4 linked regions of the Saccharomyces cerevisiae S288C genome follow. Each later gene encodes a partner of the first gene's protein in a complex. Each region holds a gene or a part of one and is shown on either strand. Other genes may lie near its edges.

The links.
Region 2: MRP2 (region 1) and MRPS8 share a complex: the UniProt entries of both Saccharomyces cerevisiae proteins name them as parts of the mitochondrial small ribosomal subunit.
Region 3: MRP2 (region 1) and MRP4 share a complex: the UniProt entries of both Saccharomyces cerevisiae proteins name them as parts of the mitochondrial small ribosomal subunit.
Region 4: MRP2 (region 1) and MRPS9 share a complex: the UniProt entries of both Saccharomyces cerevisiae proteins name them as parts of the mitochondrial small ribosomal subunit.

Annotation. Positions count from the first base shown.
Region 1 is NC_001148.4:875,065-878,598, reverse strand, and holds MRP2 (mitochondrial 37S ribosomal protein uS14m MRP2), read left to right. Parts: upstream 1-1,969; coding exon 1,970-2,317; downstream 2,318-3,534. Other genes in the region: mediator complex subunit NUT2, read right to left, coding at 50-523; MET16 (phosphoadenylyl-sulfate reductase (thioredoxin)), read left to right, coding at 967-1,752; Rho family GTPase RHO1, read right to left, coding at 2,602-3,231. UniProt on the Saccharomyces cerevisiae protein: Component of the mitochondrial ribosome (mitoribosome), a dedicated translation machinery responsible for the synthesis of mitochondrial genome-encoded proteins, including at least some of the essential transmembrane subunits of the mitochondrial respiratory chain.
Region 2 is NC_001145.3:569,963-573,619, reverse strand, and holds MRPS8 (mitochondrial 37S ribosomal protein uS8m MRPS8), read right to left. Parts: upstream 1,373-3,657; coding exon 905-1,372; downstream 1-904. Other genes in the region: YMR158C-A (uncharacterized protein), read left to right, coding at 289-426; AIM36 (Aim36p), read left to right, coding at 1,576-2,343; TPP1 (polynucleotide 3'-phosphatase), read left to right, coding at 2,604-3,320; YMR155W (uncharacterized protein), read right to left, coding at 3,426-3,657. UniProt on the Saccharomyces cerevisiae protein: Component of the mitochondrial ribosome (mitoribosome), a dedicated translation machinery responsible for the synthesis of mitochondrial genome-encoded proteins, including at least some of the essential transmembrane subunits of the mitochondrial respiratory chain.
Region 3 is NC_001140.6:96,899-100,903, forward strand, and holds MRP4 (mitochondrial 37S ribosomal protein uS2m MRP4), read left to right. Parts: upstream 1-2,320; coding exon 2,321-3,505; downstream 3,506-4,005. Other genes in the region: mitogen-activated protein kinase kinase kinase kinase STE20, read right to left, coding at 1-1,039; SHU1 (Shu1p), read right to left, coding at 1,445-1,897; YHL005C (uncharacterized protein), read right to left, coding at 1,930-2,322; sphingosine N-acyltransferase LAG1, read right to left, coding at 3,750-4,005. UniProt on the Saccharomyces cerevisiae protein: Component of the mitochondrial ribosome (mitoribosome), a dedicated translation machinery responsible for the synthesis of mitochondrial genome-encoded proteins, including at least some of the essential transmembrane subunits of the mitochondrial respiratory chain.
Region 4 is NC_001134.8:533,130-536,793, reverse strand, and holds MRPS9 (mitochondrial 37S ribosomal protein uS9m MRPS9), read right to left. Parts: upstream 1,535-3,664; coding exon 698-1,534; downstream 1-697. Other genes in the region: RTC2 (cationic amino acid transporter), read right to left, coding at 1-219; alcohol dehydrogenase ADH5, read right to left, coding at 1,977-3,032; YBR144C (uncharacterized protein), read left to right, coding at 3,245-3,559. UniProt on the Saccharomyces cerevisiae protein: Component of the mitochondrial ribosome (mitoribosome), a dedicated translation machinery responsible for the synthesis of mitochondrial genome-encoded proteins, including at least some of the essential transmembrane subunits of the mitochondrial respiratory chain.

The sequences.
Region 1 (3,534 bases):
CCATGAAATTTTTTTTTTCTAGCGAGAAAAAAAATCAGAAAAATTACTATTAGTGAGTATTGGAGACATTGTCAATGGGAGATGTTCTCTTTATAATATCTTCAACAGGTTCTTTCAACTCTGGAAATTCATCCACAATCTTGTCAGCAAGTGAATCTCTTAATTGCTTCAATCCATGCATCTTGCCTCTTTGATATTGGTTGGATCTTCTTATGGCTTCCACGAACTCTCTTGTGTAAATATCTGGATTTCTACCGTCCTCAATGTATTGAACAACTTCCAAGGGAATGTCCACCTTAGACAAGCTGGATTGAGGATCGTTGCTTCTCACGTTCAGCTTGTACAAGCGATCCACATTTCTTTGCAAGTTGGTGATCATTCCCTTGGTGGCTTCTGGAGTACCAGGAAAATCATATATCGAGACACCTAATTCAACGAAGGACTCAATAATCGAAGCCACTTGGTCTTGAGTAGTGGCCAGTTCTTGCTGCAATTGTTCATTGTTAGTGCTGTTTCCATTCATCTTATCGGTTTATTTTTCTATATATTTGCCTCTTTCTCAAACAGGAGTTAGTAGTTAAAAGTACGAAGTTCTTGTTCTTTAATGCGCGCTGACAAAAGAATTGGATAAAAGAGAATGGTGGGGGGACAAGAAGGAAATTTGTCCTAGTTTAACATGAATGGCATCTTGTTACCGGGTGGACATCACCTATTGATTCTAAATATCTTTACGGTTTATCATACTGTTCTTTATTCCGTCGTTATTCTTTTTATTTTTATCATCATTTCACGTGGCTAGTAAAAGAAAAGCCACAACATGACTCAGCAAATCTCGACAAAGTAAAAGCTCATAGAGATAGTATTATATTGATATAAAAAAAGTATACTGTACTGTTTGTAACCTTTTCAATGCTTTAAGATCAAAACTAAGGCCAGCAAAGGTATCAACCCATAGCAACTCATAAAATGAAGACCTATCATTTGAATAATGATATAATTGTCACACAAGAACAGTTGGATCATTGGAATGAACAACTAATCAAGCTGGAAACGCCACAGGAGATTATTGCATGGTCTATCGTAACGTTTCCTCACCTTTTCCAAACCACTGCATTTGGTTTGACTGGCTTGGTTACTATCGATATGTTGTCAAAGCTATCTGAAAAATACTACATGCCAGAACTATTATTTATAGACACTTTGCACCATTTCCCACAAACTTTAACACTAAAAAACGAGATTGAGAAAAAATACTACCAGCCTAAAAATCAAACCATTCACGTATATAAGCCGGATGGATGTGAATCGGAGGCAGATTTTGCCTCGAAATACGGGGATTTCTTATGGGAGAAAGATGATGACAAGTACGATTATCTGGCCAAAGTGGAACCTGCACATCGTGCCTACAAAGAGCTACATATAAGTGCTGTGTTTACTGGTAGAAGAAAATCACAAGGTTCTGCCCGCTCCCAACTGTCGATTATTGAAATAGACGAACTTAATGGAATCTTAAAAATAAATCCATTGATCAATTGGACGTTCGAGCAGGTTAAACAGTATATAGATGCAAACAATGTACCATACAACGAACTTTTGGACCTTGGATATAGATCCATTGGTGATTACCATTCCACACAACCCGTCAAGGAAGGTGAAGATGAGAGAGCAGGAAGATGGAAGGGCAAGGCCAAGACCGAGTGTGGAATTCATGAAGCCAGCCGATTCGCGCAATTTTTAAAGCAAGATGCCTAGATAGATAGAGTACGATATATAACCATATGTATGTGACTAATTATTTATTCCTTAATAACACCAATGATTACAACTTTCTAAAGCTGGCGGAGAATTCGCGCTGTACGAGAAAAGAGCGAAAACAGAGGAATATTCAAACTAAGAACCAAACTGCGATAAAGAGGATTGAAAGGAAAAACGAAAGAAAAGGTAAACTGACAAATATATACATTAACCGATGGGTAATTTCAGATTTCCTATAAAAACCAAGCTACCACCAGGGTTTATCAATGCTCGCATACTTAGGGATAACTTCAAAAGACAACAATTTAAAGAGAATGAAATCCTTGTTAAATCTTTGAAATTCATCGCTAGAAATATGAACCTTCCAACAAAACTGAGGTTGGAGGCTCAGTTAAAACTAAATGCATTGCCAAACTACATGAGATCTACGCAGATCAAAAATAGGTGCGTGGACTCTGGACATGCAAGATTTGTTCTAAGTGATTTTAGGTTGTGTAGGTATCAATTTAGAGAAAACGCTCTGAAGGGTAATTTGCCAGGTGTTAAGAAGGGTATTTGGTAAAAAATTTTATCGCGAAAGTATATATATATATATATATAGGATACGCACTTGTAAATAAATACATGATAATTTTTATTCTTCTTTAATAGATGATAATACTTACTGAGCAATACACTTATATGTAGAGAAGAATAAGATTATACACATACTGGGAGAAAAACAAGTAGCTATAGTTAGAGCTAAAATAACAAAAAAAGGCATACGTACATACAATGAGAAAAGGAATGGGATTGAAAAAGGGCAGTATCTGCCACTAAGTTAACGACTGAGAGATCGAGACACTCCTATAACAAGACACACTTCTTCTTCTTCTTTTCAGTAGTGTTCTTCTTAGCTTTACCATTCGTTTTAGATTTACCCATCAATGAAGCTCTAGTGGCGGCCTCAAACACTTCTCTGACACCATAACCAGTCTTGGCCGAACATTCGTAGTATCCGGTTGCGCCAATCTGGTCTGCTACAGATTGTCCCTCCTGTGATGTAACGGGTTGTTGACCTTCTTGTCTTAATTGTTCAATGGTTTGTGGGTCGTTTCTCAAATCCACTTTACAACCAACAAGAATAATTGGCACACCTTGACAGAAATGTAATACTTCGGCAATCCATTTTTCTTGTACATTCTCTAAAGAATCTGGAAGATCGATAGAGAAACAAATTAATACGACATTGGAGTCTGGGTATGACAATGGTCTTAGTCTATCATAATCTTCTTGACCAGCGGTATCCCATAGCGCTAGCTCTACACGACGCCCATCAACTTCAACATCTGCTACATAGTTTTCAAAGACAGTTGGTACGTAGACTTCTGGAAATTGGCCCTTGGAAAAGACGATTAATAAACATGTCTTACCACAGGCACCATCACCAACGATTACCAGCTTTCTTCTGATACTGTTACCAACTTGTTGTGACATCTTTCTAGTATAATTTTTAAAGTTCTATGATTTTCTATTAGTGCAACAATAAACCTCTAACAGCGATTCTTTTGTTTTATTAATTTTGTTCCTTTTTTGAGTTTTGTAACTTTAAGTTTGGGTTGTTCCAAAAATGTTTTTGCAATACTCAGAGGAATGATCGATGGTCGAAACGATATTAAAGACGAATTCCTGCTGGTAAAATAAATATATACGATTAGGATAAAGAAGTATTTGTATCAACTACTAAAACATGTAGTACCCAATACAAATCAAACAAAAATTGTATAATCTGTTTATTTT
Region 2 (3,657 bases), on another chromosome or scaffold:
ATTGTGGATGTAACTTGTTGCTGATCCTCTCGCTGAGGCCATCATTATACGTGAGTCGAAGGATGGCCGAAATTTTATGATACTACACCGAAATTAAACCGTCGTCTAATTTAAGATGGCTGAAATGCAAAAACCTGGTTCTTTAAGTGGAAAATAGAAGACTAAATGGTTTCATTGCTATTTATGGTGCAAGAAGATGGCTTAAAGATTAAGAAGCATTAATCAGATTTAATGGAAGCTGAAGTGCAAAGGTTGATTATGTAGCGATCTCTAACGACAATTGTTGGAATGAAAATGAACTATCATCTATCAACTAGTAGTTACACTACCAGTATGTTATCATGTACGGTGTTAGATGATGACATAAGGTATGAGAAACTGTCATGGAAGTTAGACGAAGCTGAAATGCAAGGATTGATAATGTAATAACATAATGACACATATAAAACAGAGTGAAGAATAATCGTAGTACTATTATGTAGAAATATCAATTCCATTTTGAGGATTCAACCTAAAATTCATATGTTTTTCAATATTAAATATAAAGGAGCTAAGATTTGGCGTAGGATCTTCGTCTATAAATTTAGTTGCTGATAAATTATTCTCCATTGTTGCTTTTATTGAGTATTAAAGCATTTAATGCTAGAATCCTCCATAACAGACAGCTTCAGTAGCTCAGTAGGAAGAGCGTCAGTCTCATAATCTGAAGGTCGAGAGTTCGAACCTCCCCTGGAGCACATTTTTTTTCAAAACTTTTTATCACTGCTAGTAAAGGTAATGAATGAAGGACGTTACTGTAGTACTATACTCATCATCATTGTCTGCATTTTATAATATTATTATTTACATGGTCCGTATATTTTTTAATTACACGTATAAATACGGTCATATGTGATTGTTCTATTCATTTTACTCTGCATAGTACTTCTCCATCCAACTTTTTGGATATGGCTTCATTAATGTCCATAATGTTGTTATGAGCTCGAACTAGAATCAGTTCTCCTGGTTGTAGTGGTTTGATGTTTCTAATAGTTACGCCAGAGCATAGTTTCTTCATGTCTTCCATTGGCAGGTGTATTCTTGAATTTGGTTTGGAAATTAATTTGCAGCTGCTGAGGACAGGTTTGTTATCTCTATACTTCAATCCAACCCAAAGCCTTCTAGTAGAGATATTGTCTGGTGTTACTTCAACAAAATCTTTGTCTGGTCCCATAGTCGATCCCTTCTGTAAAGACGATAAGAACCCTTGTTGGTAAAGGTTATACGCAAACTGTAGCTGCAATTTCGTATATGGGATCGATGTTAAGGCAACTCTAACTTTCGAGCAGTTCTGTAAATGAGCACACGTATTCGCAAGTTTGACCAACGACATTTTGGGCGATTAGTTTAGATCGAAAAAAAGGTGTATGTGGTCGCTTCTTTGCCTTTGGCTTTCTTCTGTTTTTCCGTTCTTCTTCCTCAGTTTGTCGATTTAATTTCAAAAAGCGGTTTGTAAGGACTGCCGGTAAAGCTAAAATGAATGAATCCCCATAGGAAGATTAATACATAACGAGCCCAGATAAATAGACTACCTACATGTTGCGACCACTGAGAAAAAGCGTTCTAGCAAGCTGCCGACATTGTTTCAAGGTGTGCGGTGGGTTGCCTCAAAAGCAATTACCCTTATTTTCACCATTGCTCTTGAGAGCACGATACTCATCAACTGATAGCTCAACTAAAAGGTCTAACAAATCAGATAAAATAGATGCTCCAGGATTTAAGAAAATTTTCCTTGTTGCTATTATCGGTACAGTGATATTTGTCAAGACAGTACAGTCTTTAGATAAGAACAAACCGAAGACAACATTATCAGAAGAAGAATTCGAAAATGTGGTTAAAGGGTTGAAAAGACGTGTGGCTATCTTCCCACAAGGTGAGGTCGATATAAAGTTTTCCTTATCACCCAGCATTGAAGAAACTAGAAAGGTACTGCAGAAATCACAAGGCGATGATATAAATGAGCTGCAGTTTGTCGATCCAGTCAAGGTCATCGATTACTACAGAACCTTGAGGGATGATAGATATGAGGCTTTATTAAATGAATACTACAAAAAATACGGGTGTGACACGTACGCTTACAATTTGCCGACCGGTATGTTGGTCATGCTTTTGGGTAGATATTTCAAAGAGAACTTCAAGACCGGTGACAAGCTAGTAGTTGTGAACTTTCCTCATTCGATTGCTGATGCAACAAGATTTGAAAATGAGGTTTCTATAGTGTCTAAAATCTTTGTTCCGAGGAAATTGAGTGGCTCTGACGTCTGTAAATATTACGAAACTGTAGGTAAAGCTGATATCATCTGAGGATGTTTTCTTTTTTTTTTTTTTTTGGTTTCTTCTCCTTGTTAATAGCTTATATGTATATATATCTGGATATATGTCCTGAATATGCTGCTTATCTGTCATATAACATTCTCATTTTCTGTTCCCTTCATCTATGTGAATGAATTCTGTGCGTTTCTTTCGTTTCCCCTCTTTTGCGTATGGCTTTAAATCGATTTTAATCTGTAAAATCATCCCAAAATCAGATGGATAACATAGAAAACTGAACCGAAGGAAAGCCCATGTCCCACAAATTAACAATCCTGCCATTTCTGATTAAGTTCACGCCCAAGTTTCCACAATCCATTGATCACGACGAGCATGGTCTAAACGTTTATGCCTTTGATCTGGACCATACAATTATCAAACCAAAGTCCCCCAATATAAGTTTTAGTAGAAGCGCAAGTGATTGGCAGTTTATTAATTTTAACTCCAAGAAATCCACCCTGGATTACCTGTGTAATATCATTGATAATGATCCCACGGCCGTCATAGTCATATTTTCTAACCAAGGTGGTGTCATCACCGTCCCAAGAACTTCTAAAAGTTGCACCAAGTACACTAATAAAATTTTGCTATTTTTAAAGGCAATCAAAAACGATGAGAGAGGAGAAACGTTATCACACAGGTTATGGCTATATGCAGCACCTAAAAGGCCGAAAACTTTTGCAGCAAATCATAGTAAGATCACATTCGCAAGCTTAGGTGAAAGTTATAACAATGATCCTAACATATTCGAAAAAGTTCGAAAACCAATGACAGGAATGGTAGAGTTTTTTAAAAGGGACCTGGAAAGTGCATACAGGGTTTCAGAACAAATTTCTCCCATCAAGTTGAATTGGATATATTATTGCGGTGACGCTGCTGGGAGGAAAAAGGACTTCAGTGATTCTGACATAAAGTTTGCTGAAAACTTGCACGTTGAATTCAAGTACCCTGAGGAAATATTTCACGGGTAGTCCGTTGTAAAATGTTGAATATATACCAGTATATAGTAATATTTCTTAAAATGTTCATTTGTGATGGTGAAAAAGAATATGAAAGCAATGTCAGGATGACACCGTCTACAGGGAATTTGCAGTTGCTCTTCTTCGATAGTACGTATATCCAATTATCCCCAAAACGAACAAAAGATTAAAAGCGGCACAATATTTCGTAACCATAAAAGTATAGCTGTAGCAAAGCACTCCCTTTTTACAGTTCCCATCATCATCTCCTGTATTTGCCTTGAAATCTCTACCTAATATATCGGTAAAAACACTCACTGAAAATACACCACCAGTCGTTAAAACACCC
Region 3 (4,005 bases), on another chromosome or scaffold:
GGATATGCTTGGCATTGTATGGCGTAGATATCCTCAAAGCGGTGGTTATAGAAGATGAGGAAGAATTATTGGACGACGATGAGGCCCTTTTATCATCCTGAGAATTTCTCTTTATATTCTGTACAAAGGACGTAAAGACATCTTTCATTCTTAGTGTACCACTATTTGAACCGCTTTTCCTTTTTTTCGAAGAGGAAGAATAATACGATTTTTCTGTTTGCTTTTTAGGTGGAGAGGAGTTTTTTAAAGGATTTTTCGAAGGAAAGCTTTTTTTCACAGAAACCGGTTTACTTTTTGCTTCAGGCTTGGACGGTTTAACTTTTGGTTTATGTTGCTTATGCTTAGGGTTCGAAAGCGAATGGGAAGCTGAATTGATCTGTCTTGGCGTGGTTGTCATCGATGGTTTAGAGATAACGGGAGTGGACACTGGTGTAGCCCTTCGTATATCAGTGGAGCTCTTATTCGAGTTTACTGTGGAAGATGCAACTGGCTGCTGGTGCTTCACTGTCGCGTTATTTTCTATAGTTTCTGTAGAATCTGTTAACGACAGTTTTGATAGTAAAGTGTCATTAAACTGGTGATCTGACTCGGACGCATTTATGGTAGAAAATGTGTTGTCAGCAGAATGATCCGGGGTTATATTGCTGGTATTTATGTTTGGAGTGACTGCTTCTAGAGATTTGGTTTCATCGATGTTAGAATGAGGACTCATGGATGAAGACATTCCACTGATGACAGAGGAGGAAGATACTCGGGTAAATTGAATAGGATCATCTAGTGAAACGACATTATTGTCATCATCATTGGTTGTCTCCGCGTTCTTCGCAGGATCCATGGATTTGTATCCACCAGCTTCATGGGCAGCATTAGTGCCTTTTTGTAAGGCATTGACGTTCAAAGTTCCAGTGGTCCTTGGTAATCGTAATCCATCGCCGCCATCGCCATTGCCGCCCATGGCCCTTTCATTGTCATTGCTGATACCGTTATCAAGACTGTCCTTGTCTGGTAGTTCCGATACAGCAGATGGATCATTGCTCATTTCTTGTATTAGTCGAGGATCTTGTGGGATATTTAGGATGGGGTGTGAGGCAGTGAAGGGAAGAAGTTTGGGTTGCTTGCTACCTCGCTCTAATTGTACGTACGGATGTATGTCTTTAAGAAAGTATGTAAGTGTGTGTAGTATGTGAGTATCTATGTAAGCATGCGTTGCTAATGCGAATTTACGGATGCCTCTTTTTGGTTTCGTATTTTTCCTCTCTGGCCAGGTGACTTTCTGAATTTTTCAGCTGCCAAAAGCGGTAGACTTTCGAATTCCCTCTCTTGGCCGTGTTTCGGGCCACGAGGCGAAAATTTTTTTTTTTTAATCGAAAAAAAAAGGAAAAAAAGATTAACGTTTCTTTTTCGTTCTATCGTCTTCTACGATATCGCATGTAACACAATGCAGCTATCTGATAATATGGTCCCAGAATCGCAATAGCCGGGCAGGCACGCTACTAGAAGGCGGTTCTGGATAGAATTCAACTTTAGATGGCAGACTGAGGCACTGCCGTAACACAAGGCTAAGTAGCCGCAGCTGTTGCGGTCCATCTTGTGTCGCGGTGAGATCCCACAATCCATAGACGAGTACATTAGAGTATTGCGGACCATTCGCCTGCGCTTGCATCCGGGTGAGGTACATGTATAAGTACTTTACCCGGCCCAAAAAAACTACGGATACCCGCTCCCGGCTTGCCACGTGACCTGCCACAGTGTTCGTAGTCACGTGCTCCTTCAGTCCTCCTAACTCTACGTACTTCCTGGCAGTGTCTCCAAGGACTATCACCAGTACGTTTGGGCTTGACTGATCCAGGCTCCAATCGCTTTCTACTAGCTGTTGCAACCGCTCTTCAAACTGCATATTGTATCCTGCTGCTGCTGTTGTTGCACCCGTTATTGCACCTGAGCATTAATATATGCGTATATGTATCTATCTATGTATATGTGTATGTGTAATATGTATACGTTTATGTTAATGCATAAACTGTAATGAAACGAATACTCACCCGCTTGCTCTCTCTCACGTATAACACACGCATACTGCCCTATTTTCCTGTTTATCTCGGTAAGAAAAGGCCGTGCCGGGTCAGAAAAGAGTGCAAGAAAAAAATCAATTCGGTAAGTGAATCCGAGAGATGAAATTTGTATGTCGTAGGTCACTGCTATATTTGATGGTAAATAATAATCAGTTCTGGCAAGTGTACATACGCTCGAGAGCCTGATTATCGCGGGGCACAAATACAGGTGATTCGAGAAATAAAAAGTGAGAAACGACTCTTTTCTCATGCAGAGACACGTTTTTGCGAGGAATTTCAGACGTCTTTCCTTATTGAGGAACCCTTCCCTTACCAAAAGGTTTCAGTCGTCAGCATCCGGTGCGGCCAACACCCCTAACAATAACGATGAGGTGATGCTGTTGCAACAGAAACTTTTGTATGATGAAATTAGATCAGAATTGAAGTCTCTATCTCAGGTACCAGAAGATGAAATATTACCTGAGTTGAAAAAGTCATTAGAGCAAGACAAACTCTCTGACAAAGAACAGCAGCTGGAGGCTGAATTGAGTGACTTTTTCAGAAATTATGCTCTGTTGAACAAGTTGTTTGACAGCAAGACATTAGATGGACAATCTTCTACAACGACAGCAGCAGCCACGCCAACCAAGCCTTACCCTAACCTTATACCTTCGGCCAATGACAAACCATATTCCTCTCAAGAACTTTTCTTGCGTCAACTAAACCATTCCATGCGTACCGCTAAATTGGGTGCCACTATTTCGAAGGTTTACTATCCTCATAAGGACATTTTCTATCCGCCCCTCCCAGAAAACATTACTGTTGAGAGCTTAATGTCTGCTGGTGTTCACTTGGGCCAGTCTACCTCACTTTGGAGGTCTTCCACACAATCCTACATATACGGTGAATATAAAGGTATTCACATAATAGATCTAAACCAAACTTTGTCCTATTTGAAGAGAGCCGCCAAGGTAGTAGAGGGCGTTTCGGAATCCGGTGGCATTATCCTATTTCTGGGTACAAGACAAGGCCAGAAAAGAGGGCTCGAGGAAGCTGCTAAGAAGACACATGGTTATTATGTGTCTACCAGATGGATCCCGGGTACTTTGACGAATTCTACAGAAATTTCAGGTATCTGGGAGAAGCAGGAAATCGACTCTAATGACAATCCCACCGAAAGAGCGTTATCACCGAATGAAACATCAAAGCAGGTTAAGCCTGACTTGCTGGTCGTATTAAATCCCACAGAAAATAGAAACGCTTTGTTAGAAGCAATTAAATCAAGGGTCCCAACTATCGCAATCATCGATACTGACTCCGAACCTTCTTTGGTGACCTACCCTATCCCAGGTAACGATGATTCATTGAGATCTGTCAATTTCTTACTAGGAGTCTTGGCGAGAGCTGGCCAAAGAGGCTTGCAAAATCGCTTGGCCAGAAATAACGAAAAATGAACACTTTTATTTTCTTTTGGCTTGTTAACCTAAACTTGTACATATGCCCATATATCCTTAAATATATATATATAGCCAACCCGAAGACGCTAAATAAACGCATTTTTTTTTTTTTTTACAGAATTATTACTTTCGTACTTGGGTTTATGCTTCTTATAACAACAACTATGAGCTATACCATGTTAACTTGGCCTTCATACAGGGGGGAAATCATATGATGATACGTATTCTCCTTAAGATACGTTTATTCACACTTTTCCTTAGATTCTTCATTTTCAGCGCTCTCATCAGAATCACTGTCACTTCTTTCGTCCTTTTGGATACCTTGCCATATCAATCTGTACAAGATTCTAAGAATTAAAAACAGCCAATACAGGTTAACTAATTGTAACGCAGCAATTAGTACAAATACAATTGGCAACGAAATCCAACATTTGTATTGTTGTGTGGCAAAATTCAACACATAATTACCTTCATGACGGAATTCTGTTAAGACTGAC
Region 4 (3,664 bases), on another chromosome or scaffold:
CATGGTTGGGAGTAAATTTTGCATCATAGCTCCCATGACGTTAAATATATCACCTAATAGCCACAACACAATGAAAAGCAGTGATAATCCCTCCGCAGACTGTCTTCGGAAGTTTTCATAAATCTGTGGTACAAACACAACAATCCAACAGCATATTGATATGGATCCAGCCATCCCACTGAGATTCTTAGCATTCAAAATAATTGGGATCAGCTTCATGGCAGAAATTTAGGGATGCTCGCTTGAGGCTATTACGTCTGGGTTATAACAAAATATTGTGGGATATTACAGGAGAATAGTTTATTTATATGCCTGAACCCGGTGTTATTTGTAGTATTTATGGTTTATATTATGACTCTTTTTACATGTAACGGTCATAGTAAAATCTATTCTGATTTGCATCTTATCATCTCCTTCTTTTTTCCAATGGAATTTGAGTCATTGCTGCAAGGCCCCTTTGCTTTGCGGGTGAGAGGAAAAAAAAGATGAAGTATTATGTGCAGTAAGTAGAAGAAAATACTAACTGAGCAATATTCGAATACATATAACTTTATTTACAGGAATAACGAACGAGAGTTGTGCTTCTAATGCTGGGCGGCGTTGTATGCAAAATATATAACGTTTCTTCTGGCATGTGTCAAAAAACTCAGAGCACGCACGCTTCCGTTCGAAATTGAGGTAACAAGATGCACTAAGACTATCTCTTGACCCATGTTGGCATCTTTCTTGCCTTCTTTTTTCCTGGCTTCTTTCTTTCGACGTGCCTGTAATCTCTTGTTAAGACGCCAGCTTTATGTAGTCTGGATTTTAATAATGGATTGAACACAACCAAAGCTTTCGCAATGGCGTGCATGATTGATTCAGCCTGACCCGTAGGTCCGCCTCCAGACGTTGTCGCAAAAATATTGTACTTTCCAACTGATTCGATCACTTGAAGTGGATACATGATTGATTCTCTGTCTTTCATCTTAAGGAAGTAATCATTCAATTGTCGACCATTAACTAATATCTCACCTGTACCTCTAACAACGAATACTTTCGCAGTGGAACTTTTCCTTTTTCCAACGGCTATACTTCTTCCAAACTCATCTAAAGTTTTGATTTTGATATTATTGGAAAGCATTGAACTTTTTTTATAATATTGGGATAGTTCGGATGTGATTTCATCATTAGTAAGTTGAGGATCAATGTTGTGAAGTTTATTCAACATATACAGTAGCTGAGTATATTGCGTAGGCTTTAATTTCGTACCACCGCCGATTAAAGCGTACTCATCGAAAGAAATCCAAGGAGCTTTTGTTTGTTGTGCTTCATTGTTGTTCTGAGATGGCAGTTTTATGTATTTCCTTAGAAGTCTTTCGAGTCGATTAATACGATCTTCATGGTTAGGATTCGCCGAATAAAATGTGGCTAGCTTTGGGACGATCCTTCTGGGCAATTCATCCTCGGTTTTTTGATAAATAGTCCTAAAAGACATTCTCATAGGGGCAGGAGCCAGAGCTGCCCTTCGAAACAAAGAAAGCCTTGAAAACATTCCGCTTGGCTCAAACTCTGTCCACAACGAGTAAATTTTAGCTAATCAATTTAACCAATTTCTACTCCTCCTGGTTTCAGTTTCCAGTCGACATTATTAAATTTCTTTTCCGTAAATGGCCTATTTCAGTTTGTCTTACGCACGCAGTTGCTAGTTTTAAATATATCATTTTATACGTAAAGTTCATCTATATATCACATTATATGTCTCGTAAAACAATGGATTACAAAGAATTAGATATTGAAACGTTTGTATAGGTTGTTCTTGTAAGGCAAAATACCAAATGTCCACCGGTTCTCGCAAAGTACAGAATCACTCGCTATTTACTGAAGTTCAGAAATGGAGTAATTCTCATTGTTACAAATAAATCGTAAAAAGTCAATATCTACAAAATAGCTTATATAAAAAGTAAAAATATATTCATCAAATTCGTTACAAAAGATCATTTAGAAGTCTCAACAACATATCTACCAACAATTTCACCCTTCTCCATCTTTGCAAAAATTTCAGGAACATCCGATAGGCCAGCTAAGTGGATCGGAGATTTGATCAAACCTCTGGCGAAGAAATCTAAAGCCTCCCTTGTATCAGCTCTATTTCCAACACAAGATCCAACGATGGAGATTGATTTTACAACTTGATTGAAAACATCGGAATTGCAGTAAGCATGAGCTGGCATACCAACCAGGACGACAGTACCATTGGGCCTACAATACCTCGTAGAAGCCTCGATAGCTGCTTCAGAAACAGACACATTAATAACTCCATGAGAACCGCCATTAGTGGCCTTTATTATAGCACCAACAATGTCTTTTTCTTCCGTGAAATCGATGAATATTTCTCCGCCTAATTGTTCAAATAACTTTCGCTTGGCATTACCACCATCGATACCAATGACCCTGTAACCCATAGCAAGGGCGTATTGGATTGCCAGAGAACCCAAGCCACCGCATGCACCGGATATAGTGACCCATTGGCCTGGTATCACATTGGCTCTTTTCAACGCCTTATAAACAGTGATACCTGCACACAAGATTGGGGCAACTTCAGCAAGATTGACGTTTGGTGGAATATGGGCAGCTTGAACGGCATCGGCAGTTGCGTATTCTTGAAAAGTACCATCATGTGTGAAGCCAGTACCATCCAAATAAGGACATTGAGATTCATTACCTACTTCACAATATTCACAGGACATGCAAGTCCCATTCAACCATTTTATACCTGCAAAATCACCGACTTTCCAGCCCTTAACGTTAGATCCCAACTTAACAACAACACCAGCACCTTCGTGACCACCGATTAATGGAAATTTCAATTGAAATGGCCAATCACCGTGCCACGCGTGCAAGTCACTATGACAAACACCAGAATATTTAACGTGGACTAAAATTTCGTTAGGCTTAGGTTCCGGAACTGTGACGTCTTTATATTCCAATTTTCCATCTGTCTCATAAAAGACAATAGCCTTTTGTTTTTCAGGAATGACTTGCGAAGGCATGATGCTTTGATTTTGTAGATATGTAGTTAAATAATTTTCTTAGGTATCTTCCAATCAGAGACATTGTGAGACAGTAAAGCAGTAGTTTGCGCTAGAAATATCTTGTAGTCCCTCTTTTATATTCGTAGTATGTTATATAGATTACAATCTAGACAATACGAAGGAACGATCCCGCGTCAGCAGATGTCACAATTTGATTATTTCATTGTCACATGCTTTTTGACTCATCCTTCCGCGAAAGGAGAACTTTTTACAATGCCGCCGGCTCTGTTAGCGTACCCTTCTACAAGCAGATAGCAGAACAAACACATGATATATTCAAAAGGTGCAATGTCAGAGAACATATATTGCGCCCCTGTCCTGTAGACATCAGTCATTTTTCGCGGGACTTGAATGGCGCACCATTATCCTATACAGAAAACATTAAATTTACTGCAAAATTTTGGGCAAACGCTTGGATAGACTATGAATCCGTCATGAAGACACTACTTGTAAAATTATATATATCCTTTTTTTTCATGTGCTAGTAAGAATTAGCAACTACTTTCATTCATCTTCGACGCAACTTCGAGGAAAGCACCTTTTTACTTGCTGTAGCTCTATTCTCTTCCCCAACCACCTTTTCCTTTATT